Linked DNA regions of Oryctolagus cuniculus. The protein of the gene in region 3 interacts with the protein of the main gene of each other region in a pairwise test. Links are inferred from orthologs where the notes say so. Each region holds a gene or a part of one and is shown on either strand. Other genes may lie near its edges. The genes, in order: EIF3E, PDCD10 and C2H4orf19.

Region 1 (6,663 bases), on a different chromosome or scaffold from region 3:
GAAGCCAGGAGCTTCTTGCTGGTTTCCCACGTGTAAACAGGGGCTCAAGCACTTGGGCCATCTTTTACTGCTCTCCCTAGGTGCATTAGTAGGGAGCTAGAAAGATTTACTTATGTAATTGAAAAGTAGAGTTACGGGGCCTGGGAGGGGGAGGACAGACAGAGATCTTCTGTCCATTGGTTTACTCCCCAAACAGCTCCAGCAGCCAGACTGGGCCAACCCAAAGCCAGGAGCCAGGAGCTTCATCCAGGTTTCCTACATGGGTGCAGGGGCCCAAGCGTTTGGGCCATCCTCCACTGCTTTCCCAGGCACCCTAGCAAGGAGCTGAATCAGAAGTGTAGCGGGGCTGGCGCCATGGCTCACTAGGCTAATCCTCCGCCTAGCGGCGCCAGCACACCGGGTTCTAGTCCCAGTCGGGGCGCCGGATTCTGTCCCGGTTGCCCCTCTTCCAGGCCAGCTCTCTGCTGTGGCCAGGGAGTGCAGTGGAGGATGGCCCAGGTGCTTGGACCCTGCACCCCATGGGAGACCAGGAAAAGCACCTGGCTCCTGTCTTCGGATCAGCGCGGTGCGCCGGCTGCGGCGGCCATTGGAGGGTGAACCAACGGCAAAGGAAGACCTTTCTCTCTGTCTCTCTCTCTCACTGTCCACTCTGCCTGTCAAAAAAAAAAAAAAAAAAAAAAAAAGAAGTGTAGCAGCCGGGTCTGGAACTTCACCCTTATGGGATGCAGGTATCACAGGCAGTGGACCCATAAAAATTTTTTTCACATACCCTCCTATAATAGTGTTTTTCATGCCATGCATAGTACATCAATGCAGCACTTTATTTATATTTTTGTTGTTACTAGTGTATACTTGTCAGATCAAAACAAAGAGGGAGCAGTAGACTTTGGGTTCTTAAGGCACGGTGGAGTGGGGATTTTTTTTTGGTACTGAGTTAGAATGCCAGGCATTGAACTGACATGCTAGCCATGCTAAAAGAATGCCATATACATTCATATTACCAGACCATAAGTCCTCACCAAAGCATTCTCAGCAGACAAAACAGAAGCTGTCATGAAAATTTAGAAAATTTAAAATGTGATATTGCATCATAGCAGACGTTTCTCACAAAAGTTAATGAAAATGAGGCTTCAACCAAAATAAGTTGGGTTTTTTGTTTGTTTGTTTTGGATTTTTTATTATTTTTGTTGGTACTTGAGGGGCAGAGACAGAGCTAGCTCCCACTCACTAATTTACTTCCTGAATTCCTGCAACCAGGGGCTTGTCTGGAGCCTAACCAGGCTGGGTCCAAAACCAGAGGCCAAGAACTCAAATCGGGTCTCCCATGGGGGTGGCAGGAACCCATTACTTCTGCAATTGCTGTTACCTCTGAGGGTCTACATTGGCAAAATGAAGTAGTCAAGAACTGGAGTCAGCAATTAAAGCCAGGTTCTCTGATGTCAGGCATGGACATCTTAACCACTAAGTTAAACACCCACTCCCAAAGTAAGTTTGACTCATTTTTTTTGTTAGCTGGCATTTTCATCATTTTGTTTCCTGAAGTTAGATTCTGTTTCTGCACTTTCTTGGAGGAAATCCCCTTACAGTGTTTGCAGTCTCAGACTAGTGAAATATTGCAATTTAATGGGCTATACGAGTGTTTCCTTTAATTCACACTGGCTTGTATATCTAGAAAACTAGGGAAGTTATTAAATGTTAGATAACTTTTGTATTTTAACCCTAGGTATCTTAATGCAATTCAGACAATGTGTCCACATATTCTGCGTTATTTGACCACAGCAGTCATAACAAACAAAGATGTTCGAAAACGCCGGCAGGTGCTGAAAGATCTTGTCAAAGTTATTCAACAGGTAAAAATTAATCTTCATTGATTTTTAAACATACCTAATTTTTTTTTTGACAGGCAGAGTGGACAGTGAGAGAGAGAGAGACAGAGAGAAAGATCTTCCTTTGCCATTGGTTCACCCTCCAATGGCCGCTACGGCTGGCACACTGCGCTGATCTGATGGCAGGAGCCAGGTGCTTCTCCTGGTCTCCCATGGGGTGCAGGGCCCAAGCACTTGGGCCATCCTCCACTGCCTTCCCGGGCCACAGCAGAGAGCTGGCCTGGAAGAGGGGCAACCGGGACAGAATCCAGTACCCCGACCGGGACTAGAACCCGGTGTGCCGGCGCTGCAAGGCGGAGGTTTAGCCTTATTGAGCCACGGTGTTGGCCATACCTAATCTTTAGATGTACCCTCTTTATTTTAAAGTAAAACCCCTACTTCTTAAGATAAAAATGTTTTTAGAAAATAGGGAAGTATACATGAAATTTAAAAGATGGATGACCCTCTTGGACATTACTCTCTGTAAGTCTAAAATATACCTATGTTAGATGTGATAGAATGATTATTGCTGTCTACTAGGTGGATACTTAAAATATATTATGTACTTGTGTTACTCTTACTACAGAGTGAAAGAAGATCTGGAGTCTGGAACTGTTCATTGAGGGGTCATTACTTGCCTCATAATTTAATAAGGGTGATCTGTATGGAGAATACAATTAATTGTCTCCAAATTGAGTAACACTACAGCTGATTGATTTTTGGTAAATGCTTCAGCAAGAACCATGGATTGAAAAAAGAACTTAAAATATTAATTTGATCTAAGAATGAATTAAGTACAGAGAAGTCATTACCATTCAGTAGGGTATGGATGTCTTTATATTGGGGAAGTTTATCACTGTTTACTGACTAATGGAGACTTTTGGTATTGGAATTACTCTGGGGAGAATTTAGAGAACTTGATTTGGAAGACATGATCCTGGAATCAGTGCAGAAGCCATTGCTTTGAGATGATAGTAATTTACTAGAAATTAATGGCAACAATAGAGAAAACATGAAAATTGGGATAATCTAAGGACATTGTAATAAGTAATGTTGAAACAGATCTAACTTAACCTTTGACTTAATTTTACAGGAATCTTACACCTATAAAGACCCAATTACAGAATTTGTTGAATGCTTATATGTTAACTTTGACTTTGATGGGGCTCAGAAAAAGCTGAGGGAATGTGAATCAGTGAGTATAAAGTTTTACTTGCAAACTAATACTGTTCTTAATTCTTTTAGCATTATAGAGTTAATCTTGCAGTGTTTTAATTATCATATCAAGTAATTCTATCAAAAATAATTGTGTATTTTAAATAACTCATGGTTTGAGAATTTGTTGCTATAGATAGATTCCTTTTGTTAAGAAGGTTTATTCAAACATTTGGATATACTGTAAATTCACAGGTATATCCTGATTCTATGTCTTACTCTGAATGAGTAAACATAAAATACTTCCTGTGTACTTTAGGGTGATCACTTTGAGTTGCCCATCACAGCTCTTGTTCTCAGTTTGTTTCTTAGGTGGGCTTATCTTGGGAAATGTTCACATGATTATATTTCTCATTTGCTATAAAGCAGATTATTATTGTATTACTAGTGTCCTATTAGCAGAAACTAAAATTCCTTGAAGAAATGTGGAAAAGTTAGATTATGGTTCTTCTGAATCAGATTGTAAGTTTTAAGAAACTAAACTAAGAGCTTAATTGCTAAATTTAATTGCCTTTACCACATTCACACATTACTAGTCATCGGATTCATCTTTTCAATACAAATTTTGCCACAAAATAAGTAAATTTTTTGACAGACTGAGATCTTATTTCTATAAGGGAACAATACGTAAATACACTCAGAGGTGATTTTCAACTACTATACAAAATATAGAAGTAGAAACCAATATTATAGCTTGTGTTACTATAGGCACATGTAACATTTTATTAAAGTAAATATTGGTGTATGTTCATTATGCTTGAGTATCTAGGGCTTATTGTGGAACCAGAAGAGTCAGAGGACATTTGGGTTCTTAAAGTAATCTTTTATAATCGCTTTAAGTAATACTCTGAGCTCAGAAACAGCTCTTAAGGCTTACTTGTCTGGCTGAAAAGCCCATGAGAGCATTTTGGGCATGGAAAGTCAAGACACTATGGCAAAAAATGTTCTCCATGAAGGATCTCTGTGAGTGAAACCCTAGTAGAAAGAAGTGGCCATCAAAGGAGGATGTACTTTTCTCTGAAGGAAGGAGAGAACTTCTACTTTGCTTATGGCTTTGTCTAAATATTGACAGAGATTGTAGATTCCATACCCTTGGCAGCTCATGTCAAGAGCCTCGGGTGGTCACTGACATCATGCATAAGAGTGTTAATTGTTAAATTAACAACAGGAGTCATATATAAGAGTGTTAATTGTTAAAATAACAAGCAACAGGAATCACTGTGCACTAACTCCCCTTGCAGCCTCTGTCTTCAGTGAGTTGTATTATGAGAATGTGTGCGTGTGTGTGTAAATTGTTGAAATCTTAGTATAGAGTTGATCTTCTCTGTACAAAGTTGATTGAAAATGGATTGTAATTGGGAATGGGAATGGGAGGAGGAGGAGGAGAAGGTATGGGACTGTGGGTGAGAGGGTGTTTATGGTGGGATTATATTCCTAAAATACTTATGAAATTTGTATCCTTAAAAGGTAAAAAAATTAATAAAATAGTCTTTTAGTTATACCATAAATGGAATAGCATTTCCATAAATACATTCCATAAATATATATATTCCATAATGGAATAGTAGCTACAAGTTTTGAGTCAAGTTTTTGAAAATTGCTTGTCAGCATTATTAATTTTTTCTTTTATGTTTCATAACATAGGTGCTTGTGAATGATTTCTTTTTGGTGGCTTGTCTTGAAGATTTCATTGAAAATGCCCGTCTTTTCATATTTGAGACTTTTTGTCGCATCCACCAGTGTATCAGCATTAAGTAAGAAAACCCTGTGTTGATGTGTATTTTCTCTTTTTTAATGTCTTGGAAAGTTACATTTAATAAGATTCCAGTTAATTTTATTTCCATTTGCTTTTAGAAGAAAATAATTTGATAATGGATTACTTTTAGCACCCCTAACTTTTTTTAATTATGAGAAGCTACAGGCTCAGAAATATTTAGCTTGCATGATGTGTGGCACAACATAATTTTTCAAAAAGATAACATAATTGACAGTTACCTAATATTATTAAACCATTACACAGGGAGGAAAGTGAAGTAACCAGTTTTAAAAATGGTTTTCAACAGTTCAAGAGTTAGCCCTTCATAAATCAGAAATTCTGTTGAAAGACTATTACATTTGGCAATCACTTCTGTTAATTGAGTTTGTTTTTATTTAATTACATATTTGAATTCTTATATAGTAAACTGCTGTAACATGCGCTAAAATGTTGAAACACAGAAAAATTATGGTGAATTTTAGTTGAAATTCTCTCTATTGTGTAAAAAGTTATTGGGGAAAGTTGTGAAATGTACATAACCTATTAGAAAGTAATTTTACGTATTAGAATTTGAAAAATAGCCAGTGCCCTTTGGCCACAGATGAAGCCAAACATAATTTTTTTTTAAACTTAGCTACTTTAATGTTTGCCTCTAAGGAATTGTGTAGACCAGATTCTTTTTCTTTAATGCCATTTGTTTTTTGCTTGAAGGATCCATACTTTGCTAATTTTATTGGATTGTCACTGAAGTGGTTATCCAGGGTTAGAAGTATAGGATGATTGTGGGTTTTTTTCTGTGGTAACTGAATCCTTAACATCAGTTTTATTACTACTTTTCTCTAACTTGCAGACAATTTTTAAATCTTACTCTTTTAAAGAATACATTCAAATTCTTAGTATGTAGTTTTTTGTGAAATAGAGGTAGGTGCATCATATGTGGGGCGCTGATTTAGTTTTATTGGTACTTTTCTCTAGTTTGGAGACAACTTAAAAATCTTACTTTCTTAAAGAATACATTCAGACTACTAATAGGTGCATCATATGTGGGGTGCTAGTGGACAGTTGATAACTGAATTCTTGCATTGTTCTTTGTTTCTGAAATTTATGACTAGGGTTGTGAAATAGGGCTGTTAGTGTTTTGATTTCCCCATTTCTGGTTAGACTGTGGTCACTTGGGTGGTGTTTTTGTTTTGTTTTATTTTGGTTTTTTTTTGTCCAGAACTTTACCTCTATAGTGAGCCTTTTGAAAACTGACTCTTGTTTTTGTAATTTTAATACCTAGCATACTAGCTTTCTAGCATATAGCATGCTTTGTATAGTGTAGTACAGATATAGTATAAATATTTGTAAAATGAGTCAATTTCTCCTGTCCTTTGTATTAGTAAACATGCATATTTGTCCTTGGTATCGCTTTCTTTAGTTTTCACTTCTGTAGTACCACAAATAAGATTTGTTCTAATACTGGCTTTTTCTCTTTATTGAATCTTACTTTTTTCCTTGGGACTCAGTTTATGATATTTGTTAATTTTTAAATTTTATTTATTGGAAAAGCAGATAGAGAGCTCCTGTCTCTGTTTCACTCCCCAAACGCCTACAGCAGCCAGTAGTGGTCCAGGCTGATGCCAGGAGCCCAGAACTCGATGCCAGTCTCCAGTATGGGTGGCAAGGACCCAAGTACTTGAGCCATCCCCTGCTCCCTGCCAGCATGCACATTAGCAGGAAGCTGGAATCAGAAGCAGAGCTGAGATTTGACCCCAAACATTCCATTTTGGGATCTGGGCATCCCAAGCAGCTTTTTAACCACTTAACTACATCAAATAAATGCTC
Region 2 (6,763 bases), on a different chromosome or scaffold from region 3:
TTTTTATATACCTCAGAGCAGAAGACCTGTAAAGAGTTGGGTTTCAAAGTATATCTGAATTTCAACCTTTGTGATACTTATTTTCTATTCATATGCTTGGTTATTGTCAACAAAACTCTTGCAAAAATATCTTTTGACAAAGGCTTTGTAAGAATTCCGTTGCCAGTATAAAATGAATTATCATTACTATTACTAATACATGAGAGAAATAACCTGGCTACAGTAAATATTGAGTTTCATAAAATGAATTAGTAGTACAGACTACAAGAGAATAGAAGATTCTGATTCAGGACAATCCACTTAATCACAAATAACAAGGACAAATGTGATCTTTTTCCAAGCCTCACTAAACCCTAGTACCCAGTTTTTCCTACCAAAATAATTTTACAGAGTCATAGCAGCTATGTGGATTAATAAGATTCTCCAATGGTGTAGCAAAGATAAAAATCTGACTCTTACCATGGCTGCTAATTTTAGTGGCTACAGTGGCTTTTTCATTCTCCTAAGCTCTTTGTTGCTGCTAATACTTACCTGATCAGCTCCGGGTCAATCTAAGAGCAGCTATTTTGCTAAGATTTGTCTGTCTCCATAGTTCTGCAGTGTGAGTGTGGGAAAGATGGAGTATGTATATACTGGTAAGTCACTTAAGCTTTTCAGTAGTAGCACTCAGTAGGACTGAACTTTAAACAGAGAATTCCTTTGAGCCATTTCTTTTCAAAAACAAATGTGTGCAGTACAAAAATAAAATTGAAAATCCTAGGTAAATCAGGAAAACTGGAAAATAAAAGATAATTACTCCATTTTATTGACCCTAGTTCAAAAAAACCTAGATGAAAGTATTCCCAGACTGAAATATACAACTATCACAGTAAAGGCATTTCAGAACAAAATGTGCTGCAATACCCTACTATGATTAAAAGCCATGTAATCTGGGGAACTCTGTAACAAAAAGAAAATGAAAAATGAACTCACCAGATAGATCCTACTACTTTTCTAAAGAGAAAAGCCTGCAATTTTTGTCAGTTACACAAAGCTAGATGCACCTTTTATCTTCAGCATATTTCCATCTACACCATATTTCCACCCATAAGTACTATTATAATTACACTCAAAGAAATATACACATGGCTTAATTCTGAGAATAAACTCTTATTTTATGATGTTTTTAACCGGAACCCATCATAATTCATACAAAGGGTAAACATTTAGCACGTACGCACTAAACACAGAAAAGATCCTCAGACAGCTTTCCTTGTCCTCTTGTTTTCTGAAATGTACACATATCACTGGACACAAATGAGCGAATAAGGAGCAGCAATGATGTACACCATATGTTCCCACTGTAGGCTGAGTCCAGGTCTTTGTTCCAATATTCCAGAGTCGCTGGAAGGAAAGCTAAGTGCCCATCCACTAAAACACATTTTTACACTATTACTGGCAAAAGTTATACTTCCCACAGGTTCAGGGAGCACCCATCCTATCCCGCTGTTCCTGACTGCATTAGCTTAATACAGATCTCGGAATTCTACGGACCTGCATTACAACCACCTTGGATAACAGGTCCGCAGCGGACAATCTCAGCATCCAACGTACCCGCAGACGCTGAAGAAGAACGCAAAGTTATTTTCTAGGGATACAGTTCGGAAGTAATTCTGTATCAACGACGAGACGTTTGCTTTTCATCAGCTACGTACCGATCCAGAATACCGTCCACCCGGTCCTCAATCAGTAGGGGTTCCCTCAATCTTGAGACCTCCCACAACAGTTTGAATCGTGCAACTCAAACCAAAAACACCAACCACACCCTTTATACCCAGGGTCAAGCGACCTTTCTTTCTTTTTTTTTTTTTTTTCCTCCTCAAAGTCCAAAAATGTGCATCTTTCACCCGAAAGGGTTTGCCCCGGTTTTTCCAGCCGAAGGCAGACGGTCTGAGCTGTGCCCTGCTGCAACTGCTGTGCAAAGACGCTTCCTCCCGGGCAGTGTGCGGACGCCCCGGAAAACGCGCCCACGCTTACCTCCCGCACACCTGCCACCCTCGGCGGACGGCTGGAGCTGAGGCTCGAAGGGACTGCACTCCGCTCAGCTCCCGCTCCTGCTCGGGTCTCTCCCGGGAAACTACGGTCCAGGCTGCGCCTTCGGCTTCCACCGGGACCCAAGCTCCGCCTCTCCCTCCTCCAGTTGGCGAACTGGGCAGCTGTTGCTCCTCCCCCTGCTGTTCCTGCTGCTGCCGCCCGGGTCCCTGCCCGCTCCCTGCACTTTGGAAGCTGCTCCAGCCGCTTCCCTCGTACCGGGGGTCCCCCTTTCCTCCCACCCTCTCCCCGCTCTCACACCTGGACTTGTTCCCTTGCCGCGCCCTGGCGCCTCCGCAGGTAGCCCAGGCTCAGCCCATCGCTCCCCAACCTGCGGGTCTGGGGCTTGGCGGAGCTGCTTATCCCGGCCGCGGAGCGTCCCCGCACTCCCTGCACTCCAGGCTCCCTCTCTGCCCGCGCTGCAGACCCATTCCACCGGCCCCACGTTCCCTACCTCGGGCCCCCCCACCCGCTTCCGTCTTCTCCTCCGGCAGCCCGCCCCCTCCTTGGGTGAGGCGCCTACGGGGCCGACCCTGCACCCTGATTGGCGCAGGTGAGAGCCGGCCCCGCCCTTCCTCCCCTAGCCTTGCACCCTCTCTCTCCCTCTCACCTCCTCCCGCAAAGGCCGGGAACTCTCCTACTATTGGCTACGAGTGTCCCCACCCATCGCCTTAGGCTCTGCCGTATGGCCTGCCGGGAAGTGTAGTCCTAGGAGCGCAGGAATTGCAGACGACGCCGGCGAGCGAGACTACGAGTCCCCATAGGCCACTGCGCCTCTCCGGCTGGGCAGGATTCCGGACAACGCCTGGTTCCTCTCGGGTCCTTCCGGCGTCGCCGGAGTGAATTGATCCGGGAGTTGAAGAGGGCTCCAAAGGTGGGAAGTGAAGTCAGTGCCTCAGTTGCCGGTAAGGTGCGGGTGTTCTGCCCCTATCCCCGTGTCTCCGCGCGCGGTGGAAGAGGTCTGGGGTCACACAGGGGCCGGGGCTGAGGCACTCGGGCTTGGTACTGGCTGGCGGAGCGGACGGGGCTGGGAGCGGGGCCCTATGGGCGTAAGCGAGGTTACCCTACGCGAGTGGCGTAAAGCGGGTTTGTAAATGCCGCCTGCCCGCCCCGCTCGGGCCTGGACGCCTCCAGGAAGTGTGCTCTAGGTGGGGGCGGAGGGGAAGGGCGAGGTTGGCCTCTGGTTCCCCCCGAGAGGAGAGAGGGCGGATGTGCCTGGGGTGGGGTCCTCCGAAGGTGTGGCTTGGGGCGGGAGAGGTAAGGCTGCTGTTTCCCCCTTGCTTCGTAAGTGTGGCTGGGGAAGGAGGGGTTGCTTGGAAGTCTTCGCTCCGGGGTGACTGGGGTTATGCCCTTTGAAGGAAAAGGAGAACGGAGTAGGAAGAGTCAGATGTTGACAGATCGGCGGATTCTGAGTGTTTTGAGATGGGGTCCCTGAGCAGAACCGCTCGACCCTGTTGAGGGTGTGATACCCAAGATAGGTTTGTTTACGGCTGGAACTGCTTTCGAAGAGCTTTCCCGTCAGGATGCTGTTGAAGAAATTGAGGGAGTAAATGACGTGCCCAAGGTCACACAGGCAGGGACTTGGTCCTGAACAGGACAGAGATGCCGGCGGAGTCACAAAGTGCGGAGACGGGCCGTGTTTCTTGAGGAAGGTGGAGGAAGTGACACAGTAATGGTATTTTATGGATTTCTAAGAAGCTATGAGTGATTGAAGGGTGACTTTTTTTTCCCTCTCTCTCTCTCTCTCTTTTTTTTTTTTCTAAACTGGGGTGAAATTCCTCACTGAAGCACTTTCTCTGACCTTTTTGAAAAATAAAAAGGATCAGTATCAGTTACGTATTTTGTCCTTTATTGGGGCTATATTAACGATCGACTTCTCCCACAGTCCATTTTTAAAAGTAGATAGTGAAATAGGAGAAAGTCATTTAAACAGTGTATTCCATCCTTACTGTGAAAAGGATATATTCCTTTCCCTTCCTGCCTTAGGTGGTTTTTCCACTCTCATGTTGTAAAACTGAGAACAGTGGGGATGGAATTCTTTAACAAAACTTACTGTGCACTTTTTTTTTGTTTCAAATAATGCAACATTAAGGAGAGTTTAGTGTGCTCATTACTAGAAAAGAAGATAACATTGCATTTCTTGGAGGTAACATATTTTTGTGATTCATTTGCTTCTCCCCTCTTTGATTCTGTGTGTGTGTGTAAATAAAAGAATGAGGCTCTTACATATTTTAATTTTCTCAGCATCATCTGTGACTTTTTAAATTTTTTTAAAGATTTATTTTTATTTATTTGAAAGAATTACACAGAGAGGTAGAGACAGAGAGAGAGGTCTTCCATCCAACAGTTCACTCCCCAGATGGCCACAACCGCTGGAGCTGTGCTGATCTGAAGCCAGGAGCTTCCTTCAGGTCTCCCACGTGGGTGTAGGGGCCCAAGGACTTGGGCCATCTTCTACTGCTATCCCAGGCCATAGCAGAGAGCTGGATTAGAAGTGGAGCAGCTGGAACCAGAACTGGCACCCGTATGGGCTGCTGGCGCTTCAGGCCAGGGCTTTAATCTGCAGCGCTACAGTGCCAGCCCCTATCTGTGACTTTTAATTCATTCTTAGTTTGTATTAAAGAATGGAAAAGCAGGACACATTTCATATGGAGTAGAAACTAATGCACCTCTCCCAGTCTTATCTCCTGTAATTGTTACGACCCAGGACAGCTCCTCAGTATTAATACTGAATAGTTTTTTTTTTTTAATAGAAATGTGGGAATATGTTCATTGATGTCAGGATTTTTTCACATTAAGTTTATATTCATAAATAATCTATTTGCAGTTGGCAATCATCTGTCATGGTTTATTGTTATCTAAGTTGACCATTGAAATACATTGTATTTTGAACACACTATAAATATTAATATTAAATGTGTGTAATTTTTAAATGCAGCAGTATTTTCTAGGATCAAATGTATCATATTCCCATATTATGGAAGTTAAGATGGTCTGGAAATTGATACAACTTTAAAATGGAAGGAGAGGTATGATAGTATAGAATCAAGTGAAATCGAGAATAATAAGCACCATAAGCAAAATAGTGCACCTGTAAGGAAGAGTCAACCAAACAGGTGGAAAATTGTGTGGAGTTAACTGGCTTTGTGTCAAATTAGAAAGGTGAAGTAGTTTAAGTAGACCATAGATGCATTAGTAAGTGGTGGTAAGCAAGAATGTTAATACATTTTCTAGATGGCAGTGTAAATATTTGCTTTTGTTGGGCACGGTGTGAAATGAGTTCTGACTTTTGGCATGCAGCTGTGTGGTTATGAAAAGAGTTTTTGAACTAGAGAAATTTTGGAAATAAGTGAAGTTAATATAATCTACTTGTTCAGCATATATCAGTTTTTGTTCTTGGTTCAGTTTACCATGAATTTTTCTTTATCTCTGAGATTCATTTCAGTTTTGATATTTCACCTCTGCTGGAATGTCATTGGAATGTTTCTCTTACATTTATCATCTTCCGGCCACATGCTTGAGTACAGTGATCATTTGCATATTGGATAATTAAGAGAGTTCACAGAGTGATGTGTGCATCTGTGTGCACTTTACTGTTATCCACATTTGTTCTCATTTTGGGGTTTACAAATAGAAGAAGAGAGGCCATGTTGTATTTATCACTGTAGTCTCAGTAGATGGCATAGGTTGAGTGCCTTTTTAAAAAGACTGAAGAGATTCAGTTGGGTTTACTTGCTCAAGGTCATGTAGCTGGTAACTGGTGGGAACAAGGCATGGGTAATCTGGATCTTCTAACTGCATCTTTAATATTATGGAATAGGACTTAGTTTCTGAGATTATTTCCTTTTGGTGAGAAAACACATAACGTGACTTAAATGTTCAAAGGTTATAACCCTTTTGACTCTTATTTACTGTTGACAATATGCTTTGATTTCCAGCCTTTCTCATTTGTCAGCCCTTTTAGTTACTAAATACTTAAGTCCTTACTGACTTCAGGGCCTTTGCACATGTTTTGTTTCACTGCCTGGACTGTTCTCAAATCTGACCAAATCCTAGACACTTTTCAAGTTTCATTTTAAATGTCATTCCTAAAGGGAGCCTTCCCTAACCTTGAACTGCTCCTTTCCAAAACCAGAATAGGTCTCCACTGTATCTTCACTATACTCTGTACTGCTTTGTGGCATCATCACAAGAGGATCTTAATTATTTCTGATTTATTTGGTAAATATTTGTTTCTCTCACTGGACTTTAAGCTACCTGAGCAGGGCTCTCTGATTTGTCGTGTATCCTACTCCTGTACTTAAATGGTACATGGCACAATGTAAGTGTTCAGTAAATATTTGCTGAATGAATAAATGAGTATATTCATTCACAGTGTTTCTTTCACTTTGCTAGAAACAGAAATTCAGAAATGAATAAAAGAGATAAGCTTCCTGCCTACATAAAGGATTGAAGCATGTGGGAACATGCTTAAGAAATTTAAAGAATAGATACAAAGGCGTTCTTTACAGATATTTAATAAAAATTTTAGAATGATCTTCATTTTGTATTTGAGGTTTCTGAAATCAGGATAGGGAGCTTTCTGTATGGAAATGATGGTGCTTTTTCCCTTGTCTCTTTATCTTTTTGTTTGCTTGCTTGTTTGCTTGTTGTTAACTATCTTCCTGTCAATTTTATATTTATTAATCACTTG
Region 3 (6,763 bases):
AGTCACACGTGACTCCTTCTGTCTAGAATCCTACAATCTAAAGGAGACACACTAAGCCAATTCGAAGATTGATAAAAGGCTGTTAGTAAAAGCAGAAGCCAGAAGCTGAGGATACACTGCTGAGGACCAATTTATTCCACGTGGGCATCAAAAAGGACAAGAGTAAGAGGTTGAAGAATAAGTGGGAACAGGCATCAATGTCAGAAAGGCATTTCAGGTAAAGGAAGCCACATGAGCAGAAATGGAGAGTTGAAGCACATTTTAGATGACATAATGCTATGTTGGGAATTTGGGCTTCATTAAGAAGTCAATAGGGAGCTATGAAAAGAGTTTTGGGAAGGGAATGGCCTGGTTGGAATGGCATTTTAGAATGGCTCAGGCAGTACTTTATCAGATTAGACACGGAAGAGACCTGAAGCTGGAAGACCACTACACATTATTGCAGTGATCGAAGGCAGAAAGTATTTGAACTTGATGTTGGGACATTAACAATGAGAATGTAAGAGGAGAGACACTGTGGGGGAGGGATGTTCAGGGCTTACTGGTGGAGGCAGATGAAGGAGAAGGAAAACCCAAATCCAGTTCCCGTTGAAATTGGGTAGATGGTAGAGTCACAAACGTCAAATGAATAGAAGATCAAAGTGTCAGAAACCATGAATAAACTCTAACCTAAAGAGTTTAAGGGCAAGATATCCATGCAGACAACTGGAATTATGCTGCCGATCCCATGGAGGAATATGAGAAAGAATCCAAAAAGCTATCTCTTTCAGGAACCCTTAATCACAATGTCTAAACGTGGTGTGGAATTCTCTTTGGATATAATGTAAGCTGTTACCATAAACTTAATTTTTATTCTTTTTGTAGAACAATTTCACACATTTGAAACTAGATTTTTAACCCCACTGAAATAAATTGGGTTTCCTATCTTCTAAGACCCATGATCTGGGAATAACTTATATACCAATATAAACATGAACACTCTTTGAAAATTAATTGTATTTTCACTCCAGCATGCATCATCAGAGTTTTCTGTTTTTTTATGAGCTTCACCCCACCCTGGAGTGTCTGCTGGGCATCCAACTGATTTGTACAAAATGCACATTACATTTTGTACAGACACGTGGAAAGCTTGGTTTCCGTGTACCAATGTGACAGGCTGTCTGACACTGACAAATATCAACAGTACCTCTGACTTTATCCCAGCTTTTAACAGATGAGGGTAACTTGGGCACCTGCGTACGCAGGCTCAGAGCACTGGTTCCAAAACTAGAATGTGTGTCACTTGTTAAAACATTTTTCAACCTTCCTGTCCCCCCCACTATTTCTGAATCAGTATATCTGGGATGGAGCCCAAGAATATTCTTTTTTACCGAATTCCCTTAGAAGACACTAATTCTGCTAGTGTAAGACCACACTTTAGAACTCAAATACAAATCTTTTTTGGACAAAATAACCTAACTGATAAAGATACCAATATCCCATAGACATTATTAAAATCTTGTCTAGAAATTGGACACAAGCATTACTTAGGGTAACAAAAGGATTTTTTAAGATCAGAAAATGGCATAAAATAATATATAACTTCCCTCGCATATCTGCCATTTTATGTGGCACAAGCCGTGTGAAAGTAGCTGGTGTAACCAAAGGGTAGTGGGTCCACGTTCCAAAGGTTCCCGGTGCTGTGGTCTCTCCGAGTGCTGCTCTCCCAGCCCTCCCAGGATGAGCAGAGGGGAAAGGGAGAAGAAGGGAAGCTAGGTGGCGCAGCGGATTAGCGCATCTCGCTGGCAAGTCCAGTAATTTGTTTTGGAGCGCAGTTGAAAAAGTCGTCCCAATCGCTGATGGTATTTTTCCAGACAGCCTGGATACTTGAAGGCTGGCAGTAACTACGGGTGGGGAGCTCGGCAGGTTGGATGGAGAGCTGCAACCAAAGTCCTTTCACCCCAGCAAAAGACAGAGAAGGGAAGGGATGTATGGGGAACCACGGTTTCCCTGAACCCCGGCTCCTAAAGGCAGGCGACAGGGCACGCAGCGGGTCCCAGCAGCTCAGATCAATGCCGAGGGGGAAGTAGGAAAAACGCAAGCGCACAGGGAAGAGGCGCACATTGGCCGGACGGTGCGTTTATTTTTCTCCCCCACTTAAGCCGCGATCCTCGGACACTGCCTTCTCCCTACAGCACGACAGAAAAAGCAGGTCCCCCACCAGTTTCCCAGCACGGCGGGCCCTTGGCGGCCTGCGCCCCAGAGGTCGGTGCTCAGTGCGCCCCGAAGAGCCAGCGCCGCACGCCCCGCTGCGGGGCGCGCAGGTAAAGGGTTACGCGTGCCGCCGGGGCTCGCCCGCGGGCCGGCCACGTGACGCGGGGGCCCAATGACGGCGCCGGGGCGGCCCGGGCTAGCGCCGCGGGCTCCGGGCGCTCCTCAGCCGCCCGCGTTTCCCCGCGCTGCTGTCCGAGGTCGGCGAAGCCATGGGCGCCGCGACCCCGCCGCCGCCCGGCCCCAGGTAGGGACGGTCCCACGCCGTGCGCGTGGTGCCCGCCGCGGGAGGAGAAGGGCGGGACTGCCGCGGAACTTGGCTTTGGGGCACGACGACCCTGATTTCTCTCGCGGGTCGCTCTTACTTCTGCATTTCCCTTTGCTCTGCAGTAGTGATAATTCATGACTAACACATAAGAGGGGAGAGGCGGTTCTGACTGGATGAGTTGGACCAAAGTCGCGCCATTCAACAAAGGCGCCGTCAGAGAAGCGAATCGGGGCGCGGGAGAGGAAGACTTTTACAAATTCTCCAAACCAAAGAGCTAGACGTTCGGGGGGCTTGGCTCTAGCTGGTTGTGTGGGGACTCTTACTGTTTTTCTTTTAAATCCCCCAACTAATGAACTTTGGTGGTGCATAAGAACTTGAACTGGAAAACTGAGAGACATTGTCTCGTGTTTCTGTGTCCGTCAACACCGCCCCCCCCCCTTAAGCATCTGAATGTCTTGAATAAAACGGAAATGGAAGGTGACCGCCGCAGTTTCTTTGAAATGTCCTTGGGTCGCAGGATTTGCCTCCCCAGCTCACACCGCCAGGTGCGGGCGCCCTCGGGGGCAGAGCTGGAGGGAAGGGAGGCTGTGCTGAGCGGCGCAGAGCGTGCCAGGTGCGCGCAGTTAGGCGGTCACTAAATATTTAGTAATTAGGCAAGCATCTCCCAGGTCGATTGACCTTGCTAACCCTGATGAGGTGAGATTTGCACAGAGGGCCACTGAAGAATTTTTCCAGTGACGGGAGGAAGAAATCAATTTTTTTTCCCTCTCGCACCATAATGGACCTTGAAAAGAAAACAGAAAACCCTTCCTGTGTGACTTAGCACGGTTTGTTTTCCATCACAGAGTAGGTGTTTATCCTGTGACTTTGGAGCAAGTCAGGTCTTCTATGAGGTGGCTCAAATCATTTTTCAAAAATATATGGCGGTTGTTTTCTTCCTTGTCACTGTCTGGGGGAGAGAATTCCTGATGGTGCTTCTCACCCTAGCTGCTGGGAGTCCTCAGTGGTTGCAACCAAGCTGCTGTGAGGAGTAATCGCCAGGGCAGAGAACTGAATGAGAAAGTCAATGAAAGTGGGCCTGTTTTTACTGATGATACATTCCTTACTGGCTGCTCCCCCTCCGTTGAATCCTCCAGTGAATGCTCATTTAACAGGACAACCCAGGTGTTACAGCCTTGTGACTCTTAAATACCAGTGCCTAGAGATCAGCTTTCTGGTTCCTTCTGTGAAAACACTGCCGCTGAAACAGTCGTTCGAAGCTCTAACAGTAAAGTTCTTGGGTGACTCGCTTTTCTCTCCAATGTGAAGATTTCCTTAAGAGCAAGCTGCTTTAGACACTGAGAAGAGGGACAGATGCTGCAGGCAGGGCAGGGTGTGCGGCTTACCTCTCTTCTCTGCTTTCTGTTTGTCCCTCCTCTGATCCTGCTTTCCCTTCGCTCAGCAAGTCATGGCGTGTGCCCCAGGGCCAGGTCCTGAAGACTGAAATAGTGAGTGATAGGACCGATTTTAACCATGCTCCCAAGAGCTTTCGCACTACAAAATTTAAAACAAAACAACAACAAAAAAAAACAACAACTTGCCTATCACCTGAAAACTTTCCATCCTCCTAAAAATGGAGTGATTTCCCAGCTGGTGCCTCTCTCAGCCTGGAAACCCAACCTGGCCAAGCTCTGGTCAGGATCTAGTCCCAGGCCAAAGGCAGAGTGGGTGCTGCAGTCCTTGCTCTCAGAACTGCTCTGCCCTGGTGCCCCGGGAGCTCATGGACTGACTGAGCTTCTTAAGGACTAGCCTCTCGGTAGCTGGGTTTCCACTCCCTGGACCGAGTTTCAAATTCCCTAGTTACATACCTTTTCCAGTAACCCTGAATCTAACTCTTTTGGGGTCTTGGTTAAATTGTATCAAAAAAAAAAAAAAAAAAAAACAGCCCCCGCCTCCTGTTAGTTGTCATTCATTCTGTTCTGCTCACTGCACTTGATTGGTCCCAGATAGACTTCCTAGGTATCTAGAAAAGAAAAACTGGGAAGAGTTGATTGGTTCATCCTAGACTCATTTGTGGGTCAGAATGGTCACCCAGTTGTAGCTTTTCTTAATGCCTGCTCTTACCTGGAGTCATCCTGCCTCCCTAGTTGTAAACCTTTCTTACTCTGGTTATGCCTTGAATGCTTCTTAAGAGGATAAAGTGAAGATTAAATCTTTCGTTTTCTCACACCGTTTTCACCGCTGAATGTCATGGCCCAACAAGGGTTGGGATCTTCAGAAGCAAGATGATCCTATCCTAAAACACCATACTGATGAGTGTGCATGATGAGAAGCAGATCATTGAAAACAGTGTTGTCAGGCATGCTGGAAAGGGACGCTCCCGGGCTACAGTGACCATTGCTCACATAAGACGTGTCTCAGACTATACTGTGAGCACTGAACTCTGTTCTGTTCAGTGTACAAGTGGCTCTCCAAAATTAAACCCTCATCTGGCCTTGGGAAGAAGGTATGTAGACCTAGAGTCAACAGGGAGTGTGCCAGGTGCTGGGGACATTGGCCCTGTCTTCAGGGATCTTACAGTCTCAGACAAGGCCTTTGAAGGATTTTAGCAGAGCACATTTTTGTTTTAGACAGTTCATTCTGCGCACAATGAGAATGGAATGAGGAAGATGCAAACAAAACCAAAGGCAGCTGCTGCAAAAATCCATGTGAGAGGCAAACATTTGGCCTAGCAGTTAAGATATTCACATCCCTTGGGGTGCACCCACTACACTGTGGCATACTGGCTAAACCTCCACCTGCAGTGTTGACATCCCATATGGTGCCAGTTCTAGTCCCAGCTGCTCTTCTGATCCAGCTCTCTGCTATGGCCTAGCAGAGCAGTACAAGATGGCCTAAGTTCTTGGGCCCCTGTACCTGCATAGGAGACCCAGAAGAAGTCCTGGCTTTGGATCAGCTCAGCTCTGGCCATCACAGCCATCTGGGGAGTGAACCAGCGGATGGAAGACCTCTCTCTCTGTCTCTGCCTCTCTGTGACTATATCTCTCAAGTAAATAAATCTGAAAAAAAAAAAAAAAAAAAAAAAAAAAACTGGCGCCGCGGCTCACTAGGCTAATCCTCCACCTGCGGCGCCAGTACCTCAGGTTCTAGTCCCGGTTGAGGTGCCAGATTCTATCCCGGTTGCTCCTCTTCCAGTCCAGCTCTCTGCTGTGGCCCAAGAGGACAGCGGAGGATGGCCCAAGTCCTTGGGTCCCTGCACCCACATGGGGGACTGGGAAGAAGTATCCGGCTCCTGGCTTTAGATTGGCGCAGCGCTGGCCATAGTGGCCATTAGGAGAGTGAGCCAATGGAAGGAAGACCTTTCTCTCTGTCTCTCTCTCTCACTGTCTATCTCTCTCTTTCTCTCTCACTGTCTAACTCTGCCTGGCAAAAAATAATAAAAAGAAAAAAAAGGAAAAGAAATGGTTAGATGACTGAGTCTGTCTTAATCTGCATGACATTTCAAACTACATTTTTACCAGGTAGATAAACATAAGCCACGCTTCCCTGCAATGCTCTTCCTGCTGGCTATTATAACTCTGGAGCCCCAGTTAGTTTTTCATCACAGAAAAGAGGTTTTTGGTAAAGAATGAGCCAATTTTATTTGCATTATCAACAGCCTTTCTGTAGACTTAAATATACACATTTGAAAATACAGTTAAACTGTTGACTTCATATTGTGTGCACCTTATCTGCTGTAACTTAACTCTTGGAAGTAAAAATACCCTGACCTTGGGTTGGTTAACATCATAAGTGGACAAAAGAACAGCCTTTTCCCCCACCAAAAGTTGACCAAAAACTGGCCTGTTGTATGTCTCAGAAGACTGAATTATGTTTTTAGGAGATTTGGTGGTGTGTGAGAGGCGCATATGCCTGTGAGAGCAGATAGTTCACCCCAATCGTTCACCTATTGCCCATACCTAGCTTTTTAGTGTAGTGTGTATTTGGATACAGTTTTATATTTTTAATTATTCGTTAGACCTAGAGTGGACCTGTACACACTAGAGTCTTGAATTCTCTTAATCTGTGTTAATCCTCCCCCCACTTTGAATTGAGTACTTATCTTGATCATTAATGTGTGATAAATGCATATTGATTCTTTATACCTGTAAAACCATGGCCCTCCCATTTGGTGGTCAGATTGCTAGCAACCTCAGCCATCCTGCATATTTACTACAGCCTAGAAAGAATAAAAGATGCCTACCTGTACTTTCAAGTCATTATTAA

The links.
Region 1: the proteins of C2H4orf19 (region 3) and EIF3E interact in binary tests that used the Homo sapiens proteins (3 or more experiments, as listed by UniProt). The two-hybrid records come from large-scale screens. The link is inferred for Oryctolagus cuniculus from reciprocal best matches to the Homo sapiens genes PGCKA1 and EIF3E.
Region 2: the proteins of C2H4orf19 (region 3) and PDCD10 interact in binary tests that used the Homo sapiens proteins (3 or more experiments, as listed by UniProt). The two-hybrid records come from large-scale screens. The link is inferred for Oryctolagus cuniculus from reciprocal best matches to the Homo sapiens genes PGCKA1 and PDCD10.

The regions. Positions count from the first base shown.
Region 1 is NC_091437.1:133,432,946-133,439,608, reverse strand, and holds part of EIF3E (eukaryotic translation initiation factor 3 subunit E), read left to right. Parts: intron 1-1,723; coding exon 1,724-1,850; intron 1,851-2,958; coding exon 2,959-3,060; intron 3,061-4,724; coding exon 4,725-4,834; intron 4,835-6,663. UniProt on the Homo sapiens protein: Component of the eukaryotic translation initiation factor 3 (eIF-3) complex, which is required for several steps in the initiation of protein synthesis.
Region 2 is NC_091435.1:112,786,843-112,793,605, forward strand, and holds the start of PDCD10 (programmed cell death protein 10), read left to right. Parts: upstream 1-2,795; 5' UTR 2,796-2,975; intron 2,976-3,186; exon of another isoform or gene 3,187-3,745; intron 3,746-6,763. UniProt on the Homo sapiens protein: Promotes cell proliferation. Modulates apoptotic pathways. Increases mitogen-activated protein kinase activity and STK26 activity. Important for cell migration, and for normal structure and assembly of the Golgi complex.
Region 3 is NC_091433.1:31,582,220-31,588,982, forward strand, and holds the start of C2H4orf19 (uncharacterized protein C4orf19 homolog), read left to right. Parts: upstream 1-2,347; 5' UTR 2,348-2,497; intron 2,498-6,763. UniProt on the Homo sapiens protein: Acts as a tumor suppressor. Acts as a tumor suppressor for colorectal cancer cell proliferation by targeting KEAP1/USP17/ELK1/CDK6 axis.